Coturnix japonica: one gene and its partners. The protein of the gene in region 3 interacts with the protein of the main gene of each other region in a biochemical or structural test. Links are inferred from orthologs where the notes say so. Each region holds a gene or a part of one and is shown on either strand. Other genes may lie near its edges.

Region 1 (7,368 bases), on a different chromosome or scaffold from region 3:
CATGCATTTATGCACAGGCACCAGAAAACAAATTCCTGCTCCCAAAGGGGAGCACGCTTTGTTTCCAGCTCCTGCAGTGGTCACAAAGCCACACGAAGCCCAGTGCTGGGTGCACGCTCTGCCGGGCCTTGTGTGAGGAGCTGAAAAAGCAGCTGGTAAAGCAGCACACGGTGCTGTTGGCCCCAGCATTGACACTGGGATGGGAGCAGCAAGATGGGGCAGCAGGAGGACGTTAGTGCCTGAGCTGCACTTCCCAGTGCCACCGGGTCACAGCTGATCCCTGGGGCTGATTGGTTTCAGGAATATGGCAACAGTGAGCAGAATTTTTACTCCAGCACAACCAGCAACAGACAATCCCCTGCTCACACATCTGCTATGAGCACAGAGATATTTATTAGCTCCTTCAACACCGCCATGCCTTCTGCTCCTTGCACACTTAAAATACATACTCACTTCTGCACAGCTGAGATTACGTGCAGATCCACAGGTGCGTTGCCTTACCTAACAGGGCCACTGATCCCAGCTCCCAGCTTCTGAGTCCAGTTAATGTTGTACTCCTCTAAAATGGAGGTTTCCTATTCCAGAAGGAGCGGGGGGAGGGGAAAGAGCAGAAAAACAACAACAACAACAAAAACCACCAAAATTACTACAGCCCTTCCCGAACACCCAGCTCAGCAGCTGATCTGCAGATAGCAGGGCACAGACAGAGCCTGTTCTGCAGTTCTGCTTCACCTAGGAAAATTAAACCTAAGAGCAAATGCTCACAGAATAGAGCTCAGCAGAAGGTGATTTCTGTGCTGCTGAGGCTGCTCCCCCTGGCATTCTGAAGCAGGATTATTGAGAGCAGCAAATGGGATCTTGCTGCTCTACCACAGAAAGCGTACAAAGGATATTTCTCCCCCCACCCCAGCCCTTAAATCCAGCTTTCTTCCTACAAATGATCAATTGCAAAGGCCCATTTACAGCATTATCACATCCTTCTTGGTCATACAGTGTAATGGAAAATATTCTTCTGTTTTCTTCAGGTTTGCAAACCTTTGGAATCATTATACTGCAAATTAACTGCTGCGTGACTCGTTTTAGCTTGTCTGAGAGTGAACCAAGCTCACGTTCATAATCCTTTTGTCCAAATCCATACAACCAGGGCAGGGGTTTTTTTATGACACAGCCCGGGTGTGGCCACGTTTAAACATGTCCTAACGTTTGTGGGGTGCAAATGGGAGCACTGAAAAATGCAGACTGGGTGCAGAACGGTGTGTGCATGCTGGGGTCACAAATCACACACGTGCTCAGAATTGGCTCCCCAAAAGCTCTGCTTTCTGATCGACTCCAAGCAAGGGAGGTGGTAGCAGAAGCTGACTCCAGAGATGCTTGAACAAGCAAGGAAATGCTTAGGAAAATATTGAAGAGTCAACCACACATGAAGCAAGTTTTTTTTGAGGGGGTCAGATTTTTCTGCCTACATTAATTTTCATTCAGAACTTCAGCATCCAATCATGGTACAAATGGAGGATGCGCTGCTGAAGGCACAGGCAGACCCACAGCTTGTGGTCCCACTGACCACACTGCGGACAAACCTCAAGCCACATGGGTCAGAAACAAAGCCAGAGGAAAACTGATCCTTAAGGCAAGAGCTGGAGGGGTTAGAGAGTGTAAAAGATAGAGATAAAGGGAAAAAGTAACCTGGAGTAGACATTGCATAGATCATGGATGACAGCTTGAAAGGAAAAAGTGAAAGGTAGTTTTTAAGTGGAGATTTCTGGTGGGGTTTTAAAATAAAGAAGGGGAAAAAGCAAAGCCCAGGAACACAGGATTATAGTGCTTTATTGTTTACAAAGCAGACAATGCTTCTTTGTGCTTCTATCAATTAAACTAACACAAATTTCACTACCTTGTGAGAAGCACATAAGGGAAAAGCCAACTTCAGTTTCCTGCTGCTCAGACACAGAGAACCATCAGACACAGAGAACCAAAGGCATCACAACCCAAGCAAAAGCACAAATTCAGAAGAACATTATTGAGTGAAACCCCATTTCAGCTGAGTCGGGAGAACAAGGCAGAGGAATGGGAATTGGACAGCGCGTGATCTAAGAATCAGATGAAGTGAGAATAAGATCTGGCAGTTCTCAGCTCCTGAAGAACAAACTCAATGGCTGCAGATCAGTATTTCCTCTTGCACATTCTGGGCATTCACTGTTGTTCTAAATAAAAACCCAACTTTTTTTTTTCCCCCCTGCATTTTTATTTAGATTCAAACCTTCATTCAAAAGCAGCTTCATAACTTAGAAAGAATAATCCAGTAATGAAAAAACACTCTCCTTAATGCACAATATTGCTTCCATCTCCTAGTACAGAAACAGAAGCTCCAAACCCAGCAGCGAGCCAGTACAGAGCTGTAAATCAACACTGACTCATCCCATCCAAACAGAGTGAAATATTTGAAACACCCTGATAAAAATCTGCCCTCTGAAAATACCAACATCTATTTCAGCAGCGCTGCCCCAGGGCTGCCTGGGTGACCTGGCCCAGCTGGAACTGAAGGAACTGAGGGATCCAGGCTGAGATCAAGTGGTGGTAATACAACATGCCGAAGACTCTCTGCAGTCTCTTTGTACAGTGTTATCTGTCACAGAGCCTGGATGGCTTCATAAATGCTTCCTTTAGTAAGACAAATGAATTTCAAAAGGATCTACCAAAAAACACCCCCTGTGTTGGCATTTTCAACCTCCTCCATTACTCGCCACTGCAGGATTTATCTTTACAAAGTTCACTGGGCTCTGACAGTGATAGGGCATGGAGCAATAGATTTAAACTGACAGAGGAGGGATTTAAGTTTGACATTAGGAAGAAATTCTTCAGCATGAGGGCAGTGAGGCTCTGGCACAGAGAAGCTGTGGATGCCCCATTCCTCTAAGTGCCCGAGGCCAGGGTGGACCGAGTCCTGGGAACCTGGTATAGTGGGTGGCAATCAGCCCACAGCAGGAGGGTGGAACTATGTTATCTTTAAGGTACTTTCCAACCCAAGCCATTCTGTGATTCATTCTATTGAAAAATAATCAGTGCAAGAGAAGTCCAACACAGTTCTTCACTGCTGGAGATCAGTTTGATTTGAAAGACATGGGTTTTGCATTTTAACAAAACAAAATGGGAAGAATTCTGAGCCCAGAGTTCAGACATCAGCCTGCAACCTAACCACGAGCTCCAGCACCAAGGCTGATATATACTGGCTCCCTGCTTTGTTGTCAGCCTCAGCACAGTGCAGCTGAAGCAGCTATCCAGGAGACTCTCAAAACAGTTTTTAAGTATTTCATATAAAGATCTATATCAGAGCTGCTGTACGGGTGTAGGGACAGCGCTGATTCTGCTCCTGCCCCTCTCAGCTCAGAGGGATTCAGATAAAGAACAGAATCAGGAAAGTACTTTGGCTTTGAGGCATCTGTCTGAACACAGAACTTACTTCAGTCCCATCTTGGAGAAGAGAACACTCCAGGGACCTTCCTGGACTTGAGGGAAACTTATAAGCAGGAGTATCAACTTTTTACACAGGCAGATAGTGGCAGGACAAGAGGCAATAGGTTTAAAGTAAAAGAGGGGAGATTTAGGTCAGATGTCAGGAGAAAATCCTTCACTCAGAAAGAAGAGAGCCCAGAGCTGTGGGTGCCCCAGACATGGAGGTGCCTGAGGCCACGGATGGACCCTGTGCAGCCTGAGCTGGGGGGCAGCCAGCACACGGCAGGGGTGAGGCTGGGGGGCATAAAGGTCTCTTCCAATTCAAACCATCCTTTGATTCTTTCAGGCGTTTTGCTGAGATCTCTGCTCCACAGATTCTAGTTTATCATTCAGGTTTGATTGAGCTTCTGCCTGTTGGTGTGAGCTCTGTGCTTTGAGGTGGTGGCTGCAGCAGAAGCTGCACTGACTGTGTGCACATCACCCACAGAACACACGGCATCGTCCACATAACCCCGAATATCCTTCCATTGCCTTGAGCGGGTCAGCCACAACTTTTACAGCGCCCTATTTCAAACTTTCCCCACTGGTTCCCCTCGGTTCCTCCCGCCCAACCCCGCAGATGGGCTCAGGGATCCCTCGGTGCTGCTGTCAGCGACCAACCCCGGGTAACCGATGGAGATGACCGAGAAGCGGCCACCGGTGTCCAACGCGTGTGATGCCGAGCGCCGCTCCTTACCTTGATCGCTTTATCCATCTCGGGATCCCCCGACATCCTCCCACGGGGCTCCGGGAACCGCCGGCCCGTCCCCACCACGGGCCCGAGGGCCGAGGACCGGAGGAGCAGCAGCGGGACGGGGCCGCGCTAAGCACCGGGCAGCCCCGGGGGAGCCTTTGTGGCCGAGCCGCAGCGCCTCATCCCCAACCGGCCGGACCGGAGGGGGCCGGGACAGCGCCGCAGGAAGGAAGGCAGCAAGGGCACTAAGCCGCCGCTCAGCCACGGAGCCGCCGCCGCCGCCACCCGGGAGCTGCCGCCACCGCCCGGGAGCCAGACATCGCCGGCACTCCGAGCCGGGCAGCCCCGCCGGGCCGTACAGCCCGCAGCGATGCTCTCGTTACCGCCACACTCGATGCGAGGGGCTGCTCCGAACACAACGATGACTCTTAGATCCCACCGCGGAATTTTAGGATCCTCCGCCAAAGCGGCGCAGCGATTTACAGGCGGGCGGTGGACAGCCCTGAGAGCGCCACTGAGCATCCAAAGCCCCCGAGGGACCTGACATGGTCAGGGCGCCTCCGAGTGACGTGTAGAGCGCGGGGTGAAGTCTCGCGAGGTGATGGACGCGCGGTTGGCGCCTCCTGCTGAGGAGCGGGAGGGATGGCGGCGCCATATTGTACGTGTGGTCGAGGCGCTGCTTACACTGTGCTACAGAGAAGGTAGGGGCAGCGGGACTGAGACAGAGTGTTTAGGTACAGAACGAGAGCGAGGGGGGCAGCTGGGAGTCAGCCCGTACCTCAGGTGTCACCTCAGGTGTTCCCTCAGGTATTACCTCAGGTATTACCTCAGGTGTCCCCTCAGCTGTTCCCTCAGGTGTTCCCTCAGGTGTCACCTCAGCTGTTCCCTCAGGTGTCACCTCAGGCTGCACTGAGAACTATTATGAGCCTCAGTGCTGGCTTGATAACCATCTAAATGACTTGGGGCTGGGGCTAAGAACACGTTCATCAGCGACAGATGCGATAGGAGCACACCCATGTACCACGTTAGCACTCAAGTAAATGTATTTGGTATTTTAAAAAGATAAAGCCCGGTAAGATTTGTAAGAAAAGCTCCTTCAGGCCCTTTGTAAAGAATAGTTTCTTAATGCAAAGCTGCGTGTTTGCTGCTTAAGTTTTGTGTGTTAGAAGGAAGATGTTTTCTTGCTTTGTATCTCATGAAGCTGCATAGGTGTTTCCAAGCACTGCTGTCCTTCACGAGTTCTTCTGTGGGATTTTGATTGTCACCTAGAGAAAACAAACGTCACACGTTACTTTCTTGCAGGCTGTGTTTGGTTCTGTTCACTTGAGGGCAGCATCCCGGAGAGCAGCGTTACAAGTTGGTGTTCAAGACTCGAATTCCCCTAATTGAGTGATGAGTGCAGCTGTAAGTATGTGCCCACATAAACTGACATGCATCCCCAGCACAGGCTCTCTCTGGTCTGCACAAGGTGAGCTTGCAGAGAAGCCAACACACCTGTGTTATTTACAGGGAGGGCCAGCTACCCTGTGCCAAGTGGTGCAGGCAGCAGGTAACCTGTCAGTCAGGGCACATATCCTTGTTCTTTTCAGCAGTATAAAACAGAACTGGCTTTCTGTTTTAAACAGAGTTGCACAGAGTTTTGTTCGTGGTTATTTCACACGTGTTGGGAGGTACCCAGATACAGGAATACTCACGTTTTTCACCTCCAGATATGCCTCCAGACCATATTCTCCCAGCTCTCTCCCATTCCCAGATGCTTTGTAGCCACCAAATGGAGCTTGTGCACCAAACACATTATAGCAGTTTACCCTGAAAAGGAAACCAAGAGTTAAAAACCTCTTGTTAACCCCAGTATGGTAATGGAAGAGCTCCTTCACAGCAATTATCTGTTTACAGCAGAGGAAGGGCTGAATTTCTGGGCACAGTTTCCATATTTGTTAGTTATCTTGGTCAACAGGGTTACGCAGTAATGGAACCTTATCTTCATCGACCAGGAAACGGAACAGCATGAAATTAGTTCACGTCTTGCATCACATAACCAAGTGTCTGGGTTGCTACCCACAGCTCTGAAGGAGGTGTGATTAAAAATAAATGATACCAGGTTCACTGAATGTACTTAAATAAATGAAATAGTGAGATGCTGGGTCTCCAAAATCCCCTGTGCTAAAAGAGTAAAGTGTGGCAAAGTGCTGACTTTGGCATAATCTTCAACATGGCCTCAGAATACAGCCCAGATTGTAGAGATGTGCTCGATGATCTGATCACTGCTGGCATCAGAGCCCTATAGCAGCTGCTGACGTTGTCAGCTGCAGAACTGGACTTCTTTTCCCTCCATCCCACCTGCTAATTCACTGTGGGAAAACAGAAGTTTAATATAACTCTTGTGTTTTACCAAAAATCAGCATTGCAGTTGAAAGTCAGACATTACATTCTGTGAGGATCCAAAGCAGACACAGGCTTTCAAACAGCAAGTTAGATGGGAAAGGAGAGCACATACATCCGACAGTTTAAGGAGAAGGAAGTGACAAGGCTTACCAGACTGTTCCAGCTCGCAGGGCCTGAGACACGTAGTTTGCCTTGTCAATATCTTTTGTAAAGACTGCTGCTGCTAGACCGTACTTGGAGTTATTTGCTCTCTCGATTATTTCCTCTATTGTCTTGAACTTCATAATCTGCATGACAGGCCCAAATATCTGCAAAACCCAAGCAGATCACATGAAAAAGACTGTAAATTGATCTCAGGAGAGATACGAGTGTCTTGCATCAGGGGGTGCAAAAGGACAAAGTCAAGAGGAAACTGACAGGCAGGTGCTGCAGGCCTCACCTCCTCTCTGGCAATCGTCATGTTGTCCTGCACGTCACCAAAGACGGTTGGCTGGACGAAATAGCCACGATCTGCAGCAGGGTTGCCACCACACAGCAGTTTGGCTCCTTCACGCTTCCCAGTATTGATGTAACCAAGGATCTTCTTAAACTGCTCTTCATCCACCTAAGTAAGAGCCGTCAGGATGAGCAGATCAGTTTGGTATATGTCAGGGGAGAAAAAGGGATGTAACTGCAGCCTGCATTGCATGCAGCTGTGCTGTCTGTTCCTCATTTTTAAATGCTACTTTCAAGCAGGGGGTTGGAGTAATCAGAATGGTTAGTTAACTTCTCCCTCCTGCACAAGGAGGTCATGGGCACAG
Region 2 (7,441 bases), on a different chromosome or scaffold from region 3:
TTAGTAGGCACTCACCAGCACAGGCGTTTTCCAAGAGGCAGGAAATTGCTTAGCTCTCTGCTATTTGTCCTAGAGGATAAGACCTATGAGCCAGCAGGTCCGCTCCTACACACTGTGCCTTAGCCCCAAAGCCTCAGATGACTGCAAGGCAGTCACAGTGTGTGACACCTATGCTGCATTAGGGAACAAGCCCTTCAACTACAACTGCTACAATGTTATTCTTGAAAGTTGTCCTAGCATAAAGACCCAAATACTCCCAAAACAAGGTACTTAGTTATCCTGAAGCTCCAAAGATCTTTGCTTTGCTGCTGTGTCCAGGCAGTCCTTCCCTTTTCCTCCCCTGAAAAGCAGCAACATCTGTTTATTGAAGCTGAATAACATGCCAACAATACACAACACGTTTCACATCCTGAACCATCCAACAAACCCTGGAAGGGGCAAATGCAGAACACGCCAATGCCACACAGCACAACAGTCTCTATCTCTCCCTTCTTGATGCCAACTCTGTCAGAGCCCTGCCTGCCACCTTCCTTTAAGATAAGGTAGGTCAAATGCATTGAAATTGACACTGCCCAGCGTGACTTTGTACAAATAAAGATTAAGAAATGAGGGAGCAGAACCAGGAAAGAACAAAGTGATGGATGATCTTCATGGGAAGGCAAGTGACCCATGCAGGCAGCCCAGCACTCAGGTCTGCCCCTCACCCAGTGGGAGGAACAGAACAGAACACTCAGATTGGGTACAGAAGTAAAGTAGTGGAGGTTACACTGTGTAACAGCACAAGGTAAAGTGAACAAAAAGGAGAAGGCTGGTAAAGAAAAGCCAGAAATAAAGGTAACTGCATTTTACTTGGCTGCTGTTTCTGGATTGGAGATGGAAAGAGACCTGATGTTTTCTACTTGCAAGGAAGAAACGAAAACACAGCTGCCCTCTGGAAGGTCATTTCTGGTCCTGCAGACCCACTCTGTTTATGCTCCTGCCCTTCTGGAAGCAGTGCTGCTCATCCAAAACGTCCCTGTGCCTGTGATGGTAACCAGCTCAGGTTTTTCGCAGCAGGACAGCAATGAATGTGGCATTTCAGTCCAGCAGAACAAAGCTGACAACACATTTTAAAAGCACATAGCAAATCCCAACGCCGAGCAGAGGCAGCTAAGCCATGGAATGCTTCAAGAACACAACCACAGCCCTGCAGGATCTCTGAGAGGCTGTCCTGAATTTTCCTGCTCTAAAGTGATTACTGGCATTCTAACTAGCTCTGATTATGGGCACAGATGAAAGCTGACAGCAGGGACCTCCCATTACAGCGTGTAGAGCTGGACTGACACATGGCTCTGGGAAGGAGCATTTTTGCCTATTTGAGCCCTTTCCTCTCGAGTACCTCAGTTAAAATTCCTTCCATTGAGTAATTTCTATCCAGACCCCGGCTGCGCTGGCTTTGTTCCCACATGAAAGAAAACCTGCAGGCAGAAAGCAATGCCATCTGCCAAGTCAGAAGCTTCTTTAATGGACAAGCATGGTGTGAAGGGGAACAGACTATCACACTCCATCTCCAGCAGCACAAACGATGCAATTCTCTTCCCAGGAGCATGTTCCAGTGAGCTCCTCCTCACCAGCACTATCTCTCCTCAAACACAGATACCAATGGATGCTGCACAAACAGCCCCCAGGGAATATATAAAAACCTTAAAAAAGAAAGTCACTCAGTACATTTTCCCCCCTCCTGCTTGACTTGCAGCACAGCCTGTCCATCCTCTCCACCTGTGAGATCAGGCTGCAGCAGCCTTCACTTCCCATACCTGCATCTGGATGTCAGCGAACCCATTGGCACAAGCAAGGCCAGAGCACCACAGCCCTGTCATCCCTACACAACCACACACAAGTTGCTTCTGAGAAAAACATTTTCCAAGTTCCCTTTTTAATTTATAATAAGCGTTGTGACCAGACGCTGTGCTGTGAAGTCTCACCTGGTGCTGGGGAATGCAATGGCCCTGCCCAGGTTTCACAAGAAACAACAGAGAAACTTCTCTGAAAGCCTTCATCCATCCTTCAGTGCAGAACGCCGGGTATGGAAGTTATGTTGAAAGCACCTCAATTTCACTCACTTGGTGCAGAATACTTCAGCAGAAGGATCTAAGTGAAGAATTGCACCTCAGAGCCACAAACCCCAGGTAGGTGCAAAGCCCCAGCACTGCCCATTCTATGGGCCAGAACTTCCCATTCCCTCCACGATAAACTCAGGTGAGTCAGTTATGTGCAGAGAGCACAAAAGCAGCGATAAAGAAAAAATGAGAGCATTGGAAATGCAGCCATTAATCAGCACCTTGTGACAAGTTTTTCTAGTTTATCTGCCCAATTTTGGGTTGTTTTTTTGTTTCCAAGTATTTCCAGTCTGCCACCACACAGCAAGGACTGTGCCAAACTACAGCTCTAACCTGACTGAGGTAAGGCCACATGCAGCCCTTGGCTTCCAGCTGCAACCAGGTGTTTATTGAGGCTTAAGAAACAAATGCACCCCTCAAGCACCTTAACTAATCAGGTAAACTGCAGCAAGAACTCAGCAATGCCACCATGTCATTCCCACAACATTTGCTTCAGCTGTTTTCAGTCCTGCTGTACAGCACAAACGTGCTTTGCATTTGGGCCATTTATTTCTCATTGGATTTTGAGCCACGTGGTCTAAAATCATCAAGGAAACCTCGAGGTTAGAAGCCAGAAGGCAAGTGAGTTTAATGTTCCTGAGTTAACGGTCTGTGTACTTGTGTTTATCACTACAAACACTCACTTTCAGTTCACAGCTACCTGCCAGTACTGCCATTACCTGTGCTCTCCCAGGCGGTGCCCTTCTGGAAACAGATTACAAAGATAAAGAGGAGAATAGAGTGAAGTGGAAGCGCTCCTTCCAACACCAAGAGCGATCCTTCCAAAGTCAGGCACCTGTGACATCGAGCAGGGCCCTGCAGAAGGTCTTCAAAGGGAAGGCAGCCTAAAAACCAACGAGCACCTAAACCCTTCCCAGCTCAGGCCTATTGAATTGCAGAGACCCAAGGCAGCTTCCTTCCCCACTGTTGCATAACACACTCATTCAGAATCCAGCACGTTTCCTCACAGCACACACCCAGACGTTCTCCTCCCCGCTTTGTCTCTTAAATACAAACACGAGGCTTTTGCCACTTGTAACGTTCTAACGTTCTCCTCAATGCTCACATGGATTATTCTGGGAAAGACTCACAAGCAGACTGTTATCCCATAAGCAACGTGAGCGTCTCCAGGCTGGAATCCCTCACCACGCAGCTCCCCTTGTAAAACGTCAGCAGCAGAACAGGAGAGTAACATGGCGTTAAGTGAACCCCAAAGCACCAAGATAAAGGGGAATAGCCCACATACCTTCAGAGCACACTTGCGCCCCGTCTCCTTGTGGAAGCACTCCAGTACTTTGCCGTTGATTCCTAACCCCAGCACCCGCTTGGACAGCTTGTAGTCGTCCGTGACGGAGTGTTTCTTTATCTCTAGCTTGACGTGGGCCGCTCCCCCAGGCACGGGCTTCACGCAGCTCCTGCTCTCCACGTGGCTCTCGGGCTGGGATTCCTGCTCTCCTCCATCGCGTTCCATAGCAGGCGACAACCCGCGGCCACCGCGACGCACTCCAGGCGACCCGTGCGCTCCGTGCTCAGCTCACACAGCGCTCATCCAGCCATCGAGTCCTGGACACACACGAGGATCAGCGCCCACCGCCGGGATCGAACAGCCCTGCGCCCCCCGCAGCAGCAGAGAGGCGCTCTCGGAGCTCTCAGCCCGCACCCAGAACTTTCTGCCCCGCCGCAACACGCGCCGGTGCCAAACCTGGGACCAAAGTCCTCGGCGGAGCCCCGCGCTCACAGCGTTTGCTGACGCCTCGTTTGGCGCTGAGAACCCCCGGCGGCCTCCCCGCATCCAGCGCCGTGCCGGCAGCCCCCACCTGCGGCCCTCGGCAGGGCGGGGGAAAGGGAGACACGACGGGCGCCGAGCCCGACACCTGCCCTCATCCCGCTCCGCCGGGTGACACGGCTCGGGGGGGGGGTTCGGACCCCACCGGAGGACGTTACCTGCCCGTGGCGGCGCGGCCCCGGCCAACGCTTCCCGGCGCGGAGTCCCGGAGGGCGGGCGCTGCCTGGGTCCGCCCCGGGCAGGTGCGCACCGCCCCCCGCGACGAAAGGGGGGGCCCGGCCCGAGGGGAGCACAGCGGGCGGACAGCGGGGTGCACGGCCGGCTCGGTACGGGGGCGGGGGGGAAAAACGGGGGCTGAGGGTGGGATGTGCTTTGTGGGGGTGACCTGAGGCACTCACGGGATGGGGGGCAGCAGGCGGCGATGGTGCCCGGGAATGCACCAGAGCGCTCCGCGGTGTCACCGGAGCTGATGGGAGACGAAGAAGGTGAAAAAAAAAAATCCCTGAGAAAAACAAAAATAAGGGGGAAGGGGGACGGAAATAGGAGAAAGAAGCGGCGGGGAGGAGCGGCTGCCGTGACGGCCGCGGGTGGTGCCGCAGCGCGACCGTGCGGCTGTTGCCCGGAGGAGCGGCCGCAGCGGCGCACGGGGCAGCACGGAGCCACCGACCGGGCTGTGACCTACGCCCGCGGATGAGCCGTACGGGGCTGGTTGATGAGGCCCGCTGCTAATTGCACACACCTGGAACTCCGACGAAGCCTTTCCAGCCCCGGCCCAGGGACCAAACAGCCTCACTCTGCAGCTGAGGCAGAGCAAGCAAATACATTCCCTTCCTCCCTGTGATCGTTTCATAGCTTTGTAGGTTGTCCGGGCACAAATTGTACTGCTGTGCCAGACAGAAGCATAGCACTCCGGAATTATAGTTGGCAGGATCACCAAGTCCCGTTGTCCATCCCTCCCCCCTCCCAGCTCAGGGCCACATCCCCACGCTTCTGGAGCACCTCCATGGACGCTGACTCCCCCAGCTCCCTGGGCAGCTGTGCCAGTGCCCGACAGCTCTTTCAGCACAGATGTTCTTCCTAATATCCTACAGGGACCTCCACTGTTGCAACTTGAGGCCGTTCCCTCTGGTCCCATCACTGTTACCTGGGAGAAGAGGCCGATCCCCACCTCATTACTGCCTCCTTTCAGAGAGATGCCTGAGGTCTCCTATGAGCCTCCTAACAGGAGGATCCCAGCTCCCCCCACCACACCTCCCAGGATTAGCAGTGCCTGGGACAGCTTCCAGTTGGAAGGCAAATGTTGTTTATTTATGGATATTTACTTTTTGAAGTTAAAAACAACCACAGTATCGTTACATACTAAAAGCCCTCTGTGGCATTAAGTTCTTTCATCCTCATAAAAATCCCTAAATCTGCACATTAAATATTCATCCTGTTTTTACCAAAACTACCCAACAGCAACAACACACTGCTGCCATCAGAAGGATTAACACAATGGAAAGGCAATACAGGAGTGTGACAGTAAAGGGACTAAGTAAATGGAATGGGATTTCAAAGGAAAAGTAAAGATGCTCATGCTCACTCACCTCCAAAGATCACAGAAAAGACTCCACTGATGAGGAACCTCCAACCAAAGATCCTTCCCTAATGGGGATCAGCTCTCAAATGAGGTCTAAGAGAGGTGCAGCCAGGCTTCACTCCTTCCCATTACACAGCTGAGTTGCCTTCACCTGTGCTCCCGGGGCTGACTGGGTCCTTTCCCCAGGTGCTCAATCAGTGGTTCAGGGTGGGATTCAGCAGTTCCATCCACACACACACACACACACACACACACACACAAAAAAAAAAATCGAAAACCACCCCCAACCCATCCTTATTTTGTGAGGGAATTGAGTAACCCAGCTTGTCTGCATTGCCCCACTGTAGGAGCAGAGTTTATTAGGGAAAATCTCCAATCACAAGGCCCCAATCTTGCACTGAGCAGTGGGGCAGCACCCACCTCGGTGCTCCAGCCAGCACACAGCTGGTGCTGCTGCTCCTGGGTATCACAGCTGCCTGCTCTGCACAGAGAGAGCTTAATGGCTCAAATACCGTTACTTTGGGTGGTTAAGGTTAATTTCAGTTGTCTCAACAGGTGATTTTTGCTGCCTTTTTCCTACAATTCGGTAATAGCGATATCAGGTATCAAAGCCAGTTCAGACTGAACTACTTCATTTCTCAACAAAAATGAAGCAAAACAAAACATCTCAGTTTGCTGTCAGGTGGAGAGTGAGGAAATCTGGGGTCACCAAATCCTCGGGGCTGGTGTTGGGACAATGATACCTACCCGAATGCTGCAGTCACCTGAGTTTATCTCAGACCAAAGGGATTGGGCTGGGGTTGGTCCTCACACAGCAATGTCTCAAGGAAATCAGTGTTAAATGCAATAAAGAAGATGCCACCAGCAGGTGAAAATGCAGAGTGATGTTTTCCTCTGAGACATTTCCTGCCCTGGGTGCCATCGGTGTCAGTCTTCCCCCGGGTGTGTTGTACAGAGGGTGCTCTGTGCTGTTAGGCTGGAAGTGGGGACGGAGCTGTGAGGCTGCAGCATCCTCTGTGTATTTCTGAGGAAGTTCTTCAGAAAGCGCCGTGTGTGCATAACTGTGCTGTGGGAGGAAGGGCAGCTCTGCAGGACGCTCCAGCGATGCACAGGAGGAAACAGAAGCTGCTGTGTGAGCTCCAGGTTGGGCTGTGGTGTGTGATGCACTCTGAAATGTGACCCACGCATCTGTCCTTCAGTTCTGCTCTGCAGGTGTCTGCCTCAGACCCAAAGAAGCAAAACAAAATAAAACAGAAACAAATAAAAAGGAAAAGTGAGGAAGTCATAATATGGTTTCTATAAGTTACAAACCCCAGCCCTGAACCCAATGCTGTATCAAGGCCACCCATATCCTACAGCATGCTGTGCCCTGATGCCTGGGGGTCCTCACAGCGCTATGGGGAGATGCAGTGGGTCTGAGAGCTGCGCTGACTGCCAGCATCTGCATTACAGACACTCAATGGGGGTGTTTGAGGCCACGGGGCACCTGCAGAGGGACATGTGGACACCATATGGACAGGTTGGATGGGGCCCTGGGCACCCTGCCCTAATATCAGATCTGGAGGCTCATGGTCCTGCCCGCAGCAGTAGGGTTGGAACCTGATGATCCTTGAGGTCCCTTCCAACCCAGGCCATTCTATGATTCCCATTTGAGCTGAAAGAAGAAATGCAAAAACGTTTTTGTTTTTCCTTAGAAGCATCATGAATCAAAAGCGTCATCAATCCTCTCATCTGCGGCCAGGAGATGGCGCTTCATTTTCTGCTGCAGAGGAGCGCAATTAATTAATCTCTCGCCGACAGAGATCCCAGCGCAGGGATGGAACGGCGGCCGTCAGCCCCAGGAGCCGCAGCCCAGCGGGTGGTGCTGCGGTGCTGCGGTGCTGCAGAGCGCTCGGGGGAGGGCAACGAAAAGCCACCGCCCAACACGGGGACACCGCG
Region 3 (7,124 bases):
CATGGAGCTGGCTGGATCTTCAGCCATCGGCTCTCGCTCGCTATGGGAGGGTTTTCATTTCTCCTGGACTGGGCTGAAGTCATAAGAGAGGACAAGAGAAATATTGCCCATAGCAGCCAGCTCTGCTGTCCTGTCCGTGTCCCCCCTCCACAGCCCAAATCCCCCAGAGCTGCAGGGCTGTGGCTCAGCAGATGACATCTTGATGGTACCACATACCTCCTCCTGTGCCCTCCCTCCTCCCTCAGTGATACCAACGTCTCCTTTTCCATTTCATCCTAAGGTTCCTCTCGGAGAGCATCGCCGCCTGCCTGGCTCCCAGGGTAACCTCTCCCCTTCTTCCTCCTCTTCCTCCCAGACTGCTCCAATCTCTGCGTCTTTCTCCGGTCCCACTAACACTGCTCACTGCTGTGTAGGGATGGGACAAGGGGGCAGGGAATTAATTGCTGTGTCCCTTCCGGTTGTGGGGGTGCCCTGCTCTGGATGTCACTGCCCCATAGGAGCCGGTGTGGGTCGAAGCTCGGGCAGCCCGACGCTGGCTAATCCCTAACATCTCTTTTTCAGCAGCTTTCACTCTTTGGTGGCTGGGAAAACACAAAAGCCACATTAACCCGCTCACTTTCTGTCCTCGACGCTGCCTAATCCAGGACTAACATCCGGGGCGGATCAGGGGAGAGGAGGGGGATGTGGGACCGGGCGCTGTCACCCTGCAGCCACCCCAGGCGCATTGAGGTGGAGGCTGGGCTGTTGCCCCCCCATCCCTCCCCTAACCCACACCAGGACTGTGACTCAGTTTCCCTTTTCCCTCTGCAGCGCTCGCAAGCGTCCCATCCCCTACTACCGCCCCAGCCCCTCGTCCTCCAGCTCGCTGAGCACCTACTCGTACAGCCGCAGCCGGAGCCGCAGCTACGACACCTACAGCACCAGCCGCAGCCGGACTCGCAGCCCCCCCAGCCGCTCACGCAGCCCCCCCAGCCGCAGCCCCAGCTACAACAGCCGCAGCAGCTCCGAGAGCGCCGGCTTCTGAGCCCCCCCACCCCAACCAGGAGCCTCCATCCCACCCCAGGAGCAGGGGATTGCCAAGGATGGACCAAGCGGGGGGTGACCCTGAGCCTGGGGGGTATTCGGGGGTTGGGAGATGGGGTGGGGGGTGGCTTATTTATTGGGGGGGCAGGGTGGGCGAGCACAGAGCAAGGGAACAAATCACATCGACATAGCTGGGTGGGGGGGTGCTCCATCCAGCGGTGCTTTTTGGGGTGTTTTGGGACTTTCTGAGCACCTTTCCCCATTCCATGCCTGGCTGGAGGGTGCGGTGCGGCCCCAAAGGAACTGCAGCATCTCACTGACTTGTGTCCCTGTGGCACCCTTGGGGACAGAGGTGACATGGATTATCCTGAGGCCCCAACAGCCCTGGGCACCACAGAGCCACCAATGAACAAAAAGCATTGCTGCATCCCCAGCACGGGGCCATGAGCCCAAGGAGTGGGCTGAGATCCCCCCTGACTCCAGCCAGGGCTTTGCATCTCCTGCCCCTGAAGAACAAATGCTGTCAGGTCTGGATTTGGGGTGAAAAAGGTCTGTTTTGGGATGTGTCTCACAGTGCTTTTGGGGTGGTCCTCACTGAGGTGCCCCCTGCACACCCACATTGCTTTGGGCACATCTGGGTGCGTGGTGTCCCCTCTGAGCACTGGGACCCCATCTGTGTCCCCCTGGCCACATCCTGCTTCAGTTCCTGACCCAGATGGCTTCATGGTGCCACTATCCCCAATAACTGCAGCCCTGTGGGATGGCAGTGGCTCCTCTCCTGGCACCATGGCATGGCAGTGGGCTCATTGGGGCTGGAGCATCCGTGCAGCCCTCCCTGGAGCTTTAATGAGAGATAAAGGATGGGGCCCACGCGCCCGCTTTGCTGACAGCCCCAATTCCACACCATTGTGCTGATTTTCCAAAAGAAAAAAGAGGCCCTTCCTGTGGGCAAACCCCCCGGCCCCGCTGCCGGTGTTTAATCCACATGGACCGTGTGTTTTCCGCCTGGCTGGAGGAGGACGAAGCGCTGAGCCCAGTGGGATGGGAGCACAGCTGCTGGGATTAACCCACAGCGCCGCAATGGGATCAGGGCTTTGTCCCTGCCCTGAGGGCACTGCAGAACTGGGGCATCCCTTTGACTCCAGTAATGCCCCTTTAGTGCTGGTGGGTTGTGGGGCTCTGACCACGGCCAAGCACTTCACGCACCCTGCATTGCCCTCCCCCTGCGCGGGGATGCTCAGTGCATCCTCCAGGGCAGTCCCCATCCCAATCCTAATCCCAATCCCAATCCAATCCCAATCCTAATCCCAATCCCAATCCCTATCCCAATCCCAATCCCAATCCCAATCCCAATCCCAATCCCTGACTCCACTCCAATCTCCATCCCCATTCCAATCCCCCCCATCCCAAACCTGTCCCCATCCCCATCCCACGGCCACAGCTCCCACAGTGACAGAGCCCCGGACAGGACAGCACATCAGGGAAAATTTCCAGTCTTCCTCTTTTACAGTCTCTGTCTCCTGCCGCGGAGGGAGCCAACTGGAACAAAATACTCTGTAGAAATACTTCAGTATTTTCCTCTCTCTCGCGCGCTCCCTTTTTCTGGATTGTGAGTACAGCTGTAGATTCAGTGAGCTGGTTCAATTATAATAAAATATACAGTATATATTGTAAATGATGCTGCGGGGCATGGAGCGGTTTCTTTGCATCCCTCCCTCCCACCCCAGCCCCTGGCAGGATGCAGCCCCGCTCTGCAGCTCGGCTGCTTTGATCCCTTTCCATCCTGTTTCCCAGACAACATGGGGCTCCCCCCCACCCCAGCCCCCAGCAAAGGGTTCAGCAGGTGCTGCTGGGGCTGGGGGGACACCCTGAGCTCCCCCTGATGAAAGATACTTCTCCCATCCTTCCTGTATCCCTGTCTGTGCCAAGCGCCCCACAGGGAGGGCTCTCACATCCCTGCACTGAGCACATCAGGGCTCAGATACATCCATCCCCTGGCTGTGCTGCCTCTTAAAAGCAAAGCCTGCACGCTGCAGGAGCTGGGCAGGAAGGGACAGTCAGCCCAAGGCCAGAGCTCAGCCCTGAACAGTCCCAACAACCAGCATCAGCCCTATCAGTCCCCACTGCCCCCATCAGCCACCCACAGCACCATCAATCCCTACTGGTCTCTACTAAACCCCAGCAGTCCACATCCATTCATGTAATCCCTCACTGACCCCCATCAAGCCCTACAGCCTCCATCAGTCCTCCTGACCTCCATCAGCAACGCTGGGCCTTGCTGACCCCCCCACCAAGCCCTATAGCCCCTATCAGCCCCTCTATCCTCCATCAACCCTACAAACCCAGCTCTAGGACCCCTCACCCTGGGGTGCCACATTTCTGGTGGGCTCCAGAAGCTTCTGGCCTGGCAGTGACGCAGCGGGCGCAGGGCTGAGCTCGGGCTCCTGCTCTGACTCATCCCCCCCAGCACTGCGCATCCCGAGGGCTGTTGACGGGAAGGGGAGGGCAGGCTGGGATCCATCCAGCTCCCATCCATCAGCGCCAAGGAGCAGCGCAGGGCGGGCAGCAGGGCTTGCGGCTGCGCGGGGCTGGAGAAAAGCTTCTGGTCCCTTCCCGGGCCCCGCTGCAATTTCCATTAATAGCCAGCTGCGCCTGAAGGCTAAAAATAACCGTGGGGACGGGTTCATAAGGCCCTACAGCCGCTCCACACCATCAACCCCGCACACCATGGCCGAGCGCCGCGTGCCCTTCACCTTCCTCAGCAGCCCCAGCTGGGAGCCCTTCCGCGACTGGTACCATGGCAGCCGCCTCTTCGACCAGTCCTTTGGGATGCCCCACATCCCCGAGGACTGGTACAAGTGGCCCAGCGGCAGCGCATGGCCTGGATACTTCCGTCTGCTGCCCAGTGAGAGCGCCTTGCTGCCAGCCCCTGGGTCGCCCTATGGCCGCGCATTGAGCCGGCAGCTGAGCAGCGGCATCTCCGAGATCAGGCAGAGCGCCGACAGCTGGAAGGTCACCCTGGATGTCAACCACTTTGCACCCGAAGAGCTGGTGGTGAAGACCAAGGATAACATCGTGGAGATCACCGGTGGGTCTGAGAGATGGGGTGATGGGGGTATGGGGAGGGTGTGGGGGATGTGGGGTGGTTGAGGGGATGTATTTGTGGTGGGGGAATGAGGAGAAAATGGAGCATGGTGGGAAAGGGAAGGAGAAAGAAAGAAAGAGTGAGGGAAAGGTGAAAGGGAAAAGGGAGAAGGGGAAGAAGGAAAAGGAAAAAGGGAAATAGGGATGGAAAAGAAAAGGGAAAGAAAAGGAAGGAAATGGGAGGAGAAAGGGGAAAGGGAAAGGAAAAAGGGAAATAGGGAAGGAAGGGAAAGGAAAAAGAATGGGAGAGGAAAGGAAAAGGGAAAGGGAAAGAGAGGAGAGGAAAAGGGGGAAAAAGGGAAAGGAAAGGTAAGGGGAAAAGGAAGAGAGAAAAGGGGGGGGAAAAAAAGATATAACAAATGATAAGCAAACAGAGAAGGAATAGGGTTACAAGTGCATTCCAGGGATGACTCATGATGTACACAGTGTGCTGGCTGCAGTCCCCAGCCCCACACCGCTATTGTATGCAGCCCACGGTAGGAATGTGATGCGTGCCCCATAGGGACAGAGGTGTCAGCGCCATGGGGCAGAGCCAGGCCCCACAGCACCCTGAGCATCCCTGTGTGCCAGGGAGGGGGCTCAGCAAGGGATGCTGTGAGGAAACACAGACCCCATGGCCCAGGGCCAGCAGTGTGCCCTGCCCAACGGGGAGCTGAAACAAAGGCGTTGGAGATGGGTTGGGTCCACCATCACCGTCTGTTTCCTACCCTTAAATTTAAGGGGTGTTCCTGTAGGGATCCAGGTGTCTCTCATCATTCAAGGCTGCATGTAGGGCAAGCAGGACTGCCCTCAACCCAGTGCTGATGGGGCAGGGAAAGGCAAACCCCAAGTGCGGAGACCCAATGGGTTTAACCTTTTGTGCTTTACTCTTTCCAGGCAAGCACGAGGAGAAACAGGATGAGCACGGCTTCATCTCCAGGTGCTTCACCCGCAAATACACGTAAGTACCAGGGTGGGGAGAGTGGGGACATCCAACCTGCCCATCCCCATCTCACACACACACTGGGGTTGTCATTGGCCCCAATGGGGGACGCATAGAAATTAGGGGATTTTCTGACCTCTCCCCTCTCCCCGCAGTCTCCCTCCTGGTGTGGAAGCCACAGCCGTGCGGTCCTCACTGTCCCCTGATGGGATGCTGACAGTGGAGGCCCCGCTGCCCAAGCCGGCCATCCAGTCATCCGAGATCACCATCCCTGTCACCGTCGAGGCCAAGAAGGAAGAACCAGCCAAGAAGTAGGAGGAGGCCCCGCTGCTGTCCCCGACACACACCCCGCACGCCTGCCCCCAGCTCCCACCCCCTTTGTATTTTTTACTTGGTACTCACCCATCACCCAGTGCCTTGAATAAACTTGGAGGAAAAGAGAAAATTGATGGGAATAAAAGTGATAGAAGAAACCTGCCCCGTGTCTGCTGGCCACATCCTACAGCCTATATGCCAAGTTTCACATCCCACACCCCACATCTGGACATGCCAGATCTCTAAAGTCATAGGATTATAGAATCGTGGGTTATCCTGTGTTGGAAGGGACCCATAAAACCCACTGAGTCCAACTGCTGGTTGCACACAGGGCCATGTCCCTGCTTTAACACCCTGGGTGTCAGCACTGTGGGTCTCCAGCATCCCAAGGTCAATGTCCTGGTCTTTCATGTCCTGAGAATCTGACATTTTGGGTCTCCAGGGTCCTGGGTCTCAACATTACACTACTCTACATTACTCCATTTGAGGTCACAACATACTGGATCTCCAACATGCTCCCAGGATCCAGAGTCCCCAGATTTCCAGATCTCCCATCTCCCAGATCTCAGCATCCCATTTCTCCTCCATCCCAGGTCCCTGAACTCCCAGATCTCGTCACTTTCAGTCTCAATATCTCATCATTCCTCCTCTCCAAAGCTCTGAGTGTCACCACCCCAGCTCTCAACATCCCATATATCCAACCTGCTGTATATCCCCATCCTGGTGTCAGCACCCCAGGTCTCTACATCCCATAAAACAGCCCCCCCCCCCCCCCCCCTGCAGCTCACAGGGAAGCTTGGGCAGAAGCTCAGGAGGTCAAAGCCCCCCACCCCACCCAGCAGCATGCCCCCATTCCTGATTCCTTCTGGGATGTGCAGCCTCCACCCCACTGTGCCCCCTCCCTTCACCCCATTGGGATGAATTGGATGGATGGGGCTTTGCTCACCTCCAACCCCAGCTCAGGAGCTGGGCACAGTGTCATGCTCCCCACACCCCTCCTGTGTCCCCCACACCTCCATGCAAGGTTCAGGGCTGGCCCTACATGGCCAGGCTACCAGCGGCCGCGTTCCTGCTCCTACAAATCCCCCTAATCCCCCCTGAGTCATCCCGGAGGCAGGCAGTGACCGGGGAGGAATCCTACAGCCATAGGGCTCCTCTATCAGCCCAGCCCCCCCAGAGCACTGGGACATCCCCCCCCCCAGGGTATGCGTGTGACATTATGGGATGGGTGGCCAAGGCAACCGGAGTGATGGAGATGGTTGCCATAGCGAGAGCAGCACCAGCCCTAGGGATCAGCAACGAGCATCTTGTCTTCCTGCATTGGTGGGGAACAAATACACGTCACCCAGTGCAGCACCACACCTGGGGGTGGCACCGTGTGCTGTCCCAGCCCCAAGCACCGTTATCACCACGGCAGCACTGTGCCATGCCCCAGGGCTGGGCACAGGTGGGGAGGCAGCAGCACAACCCCACTGTGTGTGAGTCAATACCCACTTTGGGTGTATGGTTTCTAAGGGAGGGGATTATTTTTACAGGGTGAGTCAGAGCACACCGTGCTGAGTGGAAAAAGCTGCCAGGAGGCAGGGACAGAGCATGGCCATGAACCAGGCACAGACTGTCCCCATGAGTTCCTCAGCCCTGGTCACACATCGGTCAAACCCTGGGCCAGGGGAAAGGACAGCACAAGGTCCCCAAGGCCAAGGGTGGGAAGGGGACAGTA

Evidence for each region.
Region 1: of the proteins of HSPB1 (region 3) and MAPKAPK5, one has a biochemical effect on the other in vitro, tested with the Homo sapiens proteins (4 studies listed by BioGRID and IntAct). The link is inferred for Coturnix japonica from reciprocal best matches to the Homo sapiens genes HSPB1 and MAPKAPK5.
Region 2: of the proteins of HSPB1 (region 3) and MAPKAPK3, one has a biochemical effect on the other in vitro, tested with the Homo sapiens proteins (2 studies listed by BioGRID and IntAct). The link is inferred for Coturnix japonica from reciprocal best matches to the Homo sapiens genes HSPB1 and MAPKAPK3.

What each region holds. Positions count from the first base shown.
Region 1 is NC_029530.1:5,383,168-5,390,535, reverse strand, and holds the start of MAPKAPK5 (MAP kinase-activated protein kinase 5), read right to left. Parts: upstream 4,420-7,368; 5' UTR 4,223-4,419; coding exon 4,187-4,222; intron 576-4,186; coding exon 502-575; intron 1-501. Other genes in the region: ALDH2 (aldehyde dehydrogenase, mitochondrial), read right to left, coding at 5,416-5,448, 5,878-5,992, 6,719-6,876, 7,008-7,172. UniProt on the Homo sapiens protein: Tumor suppressor serine/threonine-protein kinase involved in mTORC1 signaling and post-transcriptional regulation. Phosphorylates FOXO3, ERK3/MAPK6, ERK4/MAPK4, HSP27/HSPB1, p53/TP53 and RHEB.
Region 2 is NC_029527.1:1,010,660-1,018,100, reverse strand, and holds the start of MAPKAPK3 (MAP kinase-activated protein kinase 3), read right to left. Parts: upstream 4,544-7,441; 5' UTR 4,323-4,543; intron 4,170-4,322; exon of another isoform or gene 4,083-4,169; intron 4,060-4,082; exon of another isoform or gene 3,841-4,059; intron 3,702-3,840; 5' UTR 3,610-3,701; coding exon 3,385-3,609; intron 1-3,384. UniProt on the Homo sapiens protein: Stress-activated serine/threonine-protein kinase involved in cytokines production, endocytosis, cell migration, chromatin remodeling and transcriptional regulation.
Region 3 is NC_029534.1:3,161,798-3,168,921, reverse strand, and holds HSPB1 (heat shock protein beta-1), read left to right. Parts: upstream 1-3,570; 5' UTR 3,571-3,750; coding exon 3,751-4,111; intron 4,112-5,043; coding exon 5,044-5,107; intron 5,108-5,244; coding exon 5,245-5,404; 3' UTR 5,405-5,566; downstream 5,567-7,124. Other genes in the region: SRRM3 (serine/arginine repetitive matrix protein 3), read left to right, coding at 811-1,024. UniProt on the Homo sapiens protein: Small heat shock protein which functions as a molecular chaperone probably maintaining denatured proteins in a folding-competent state. Plays a role in stress resistance and actin organization.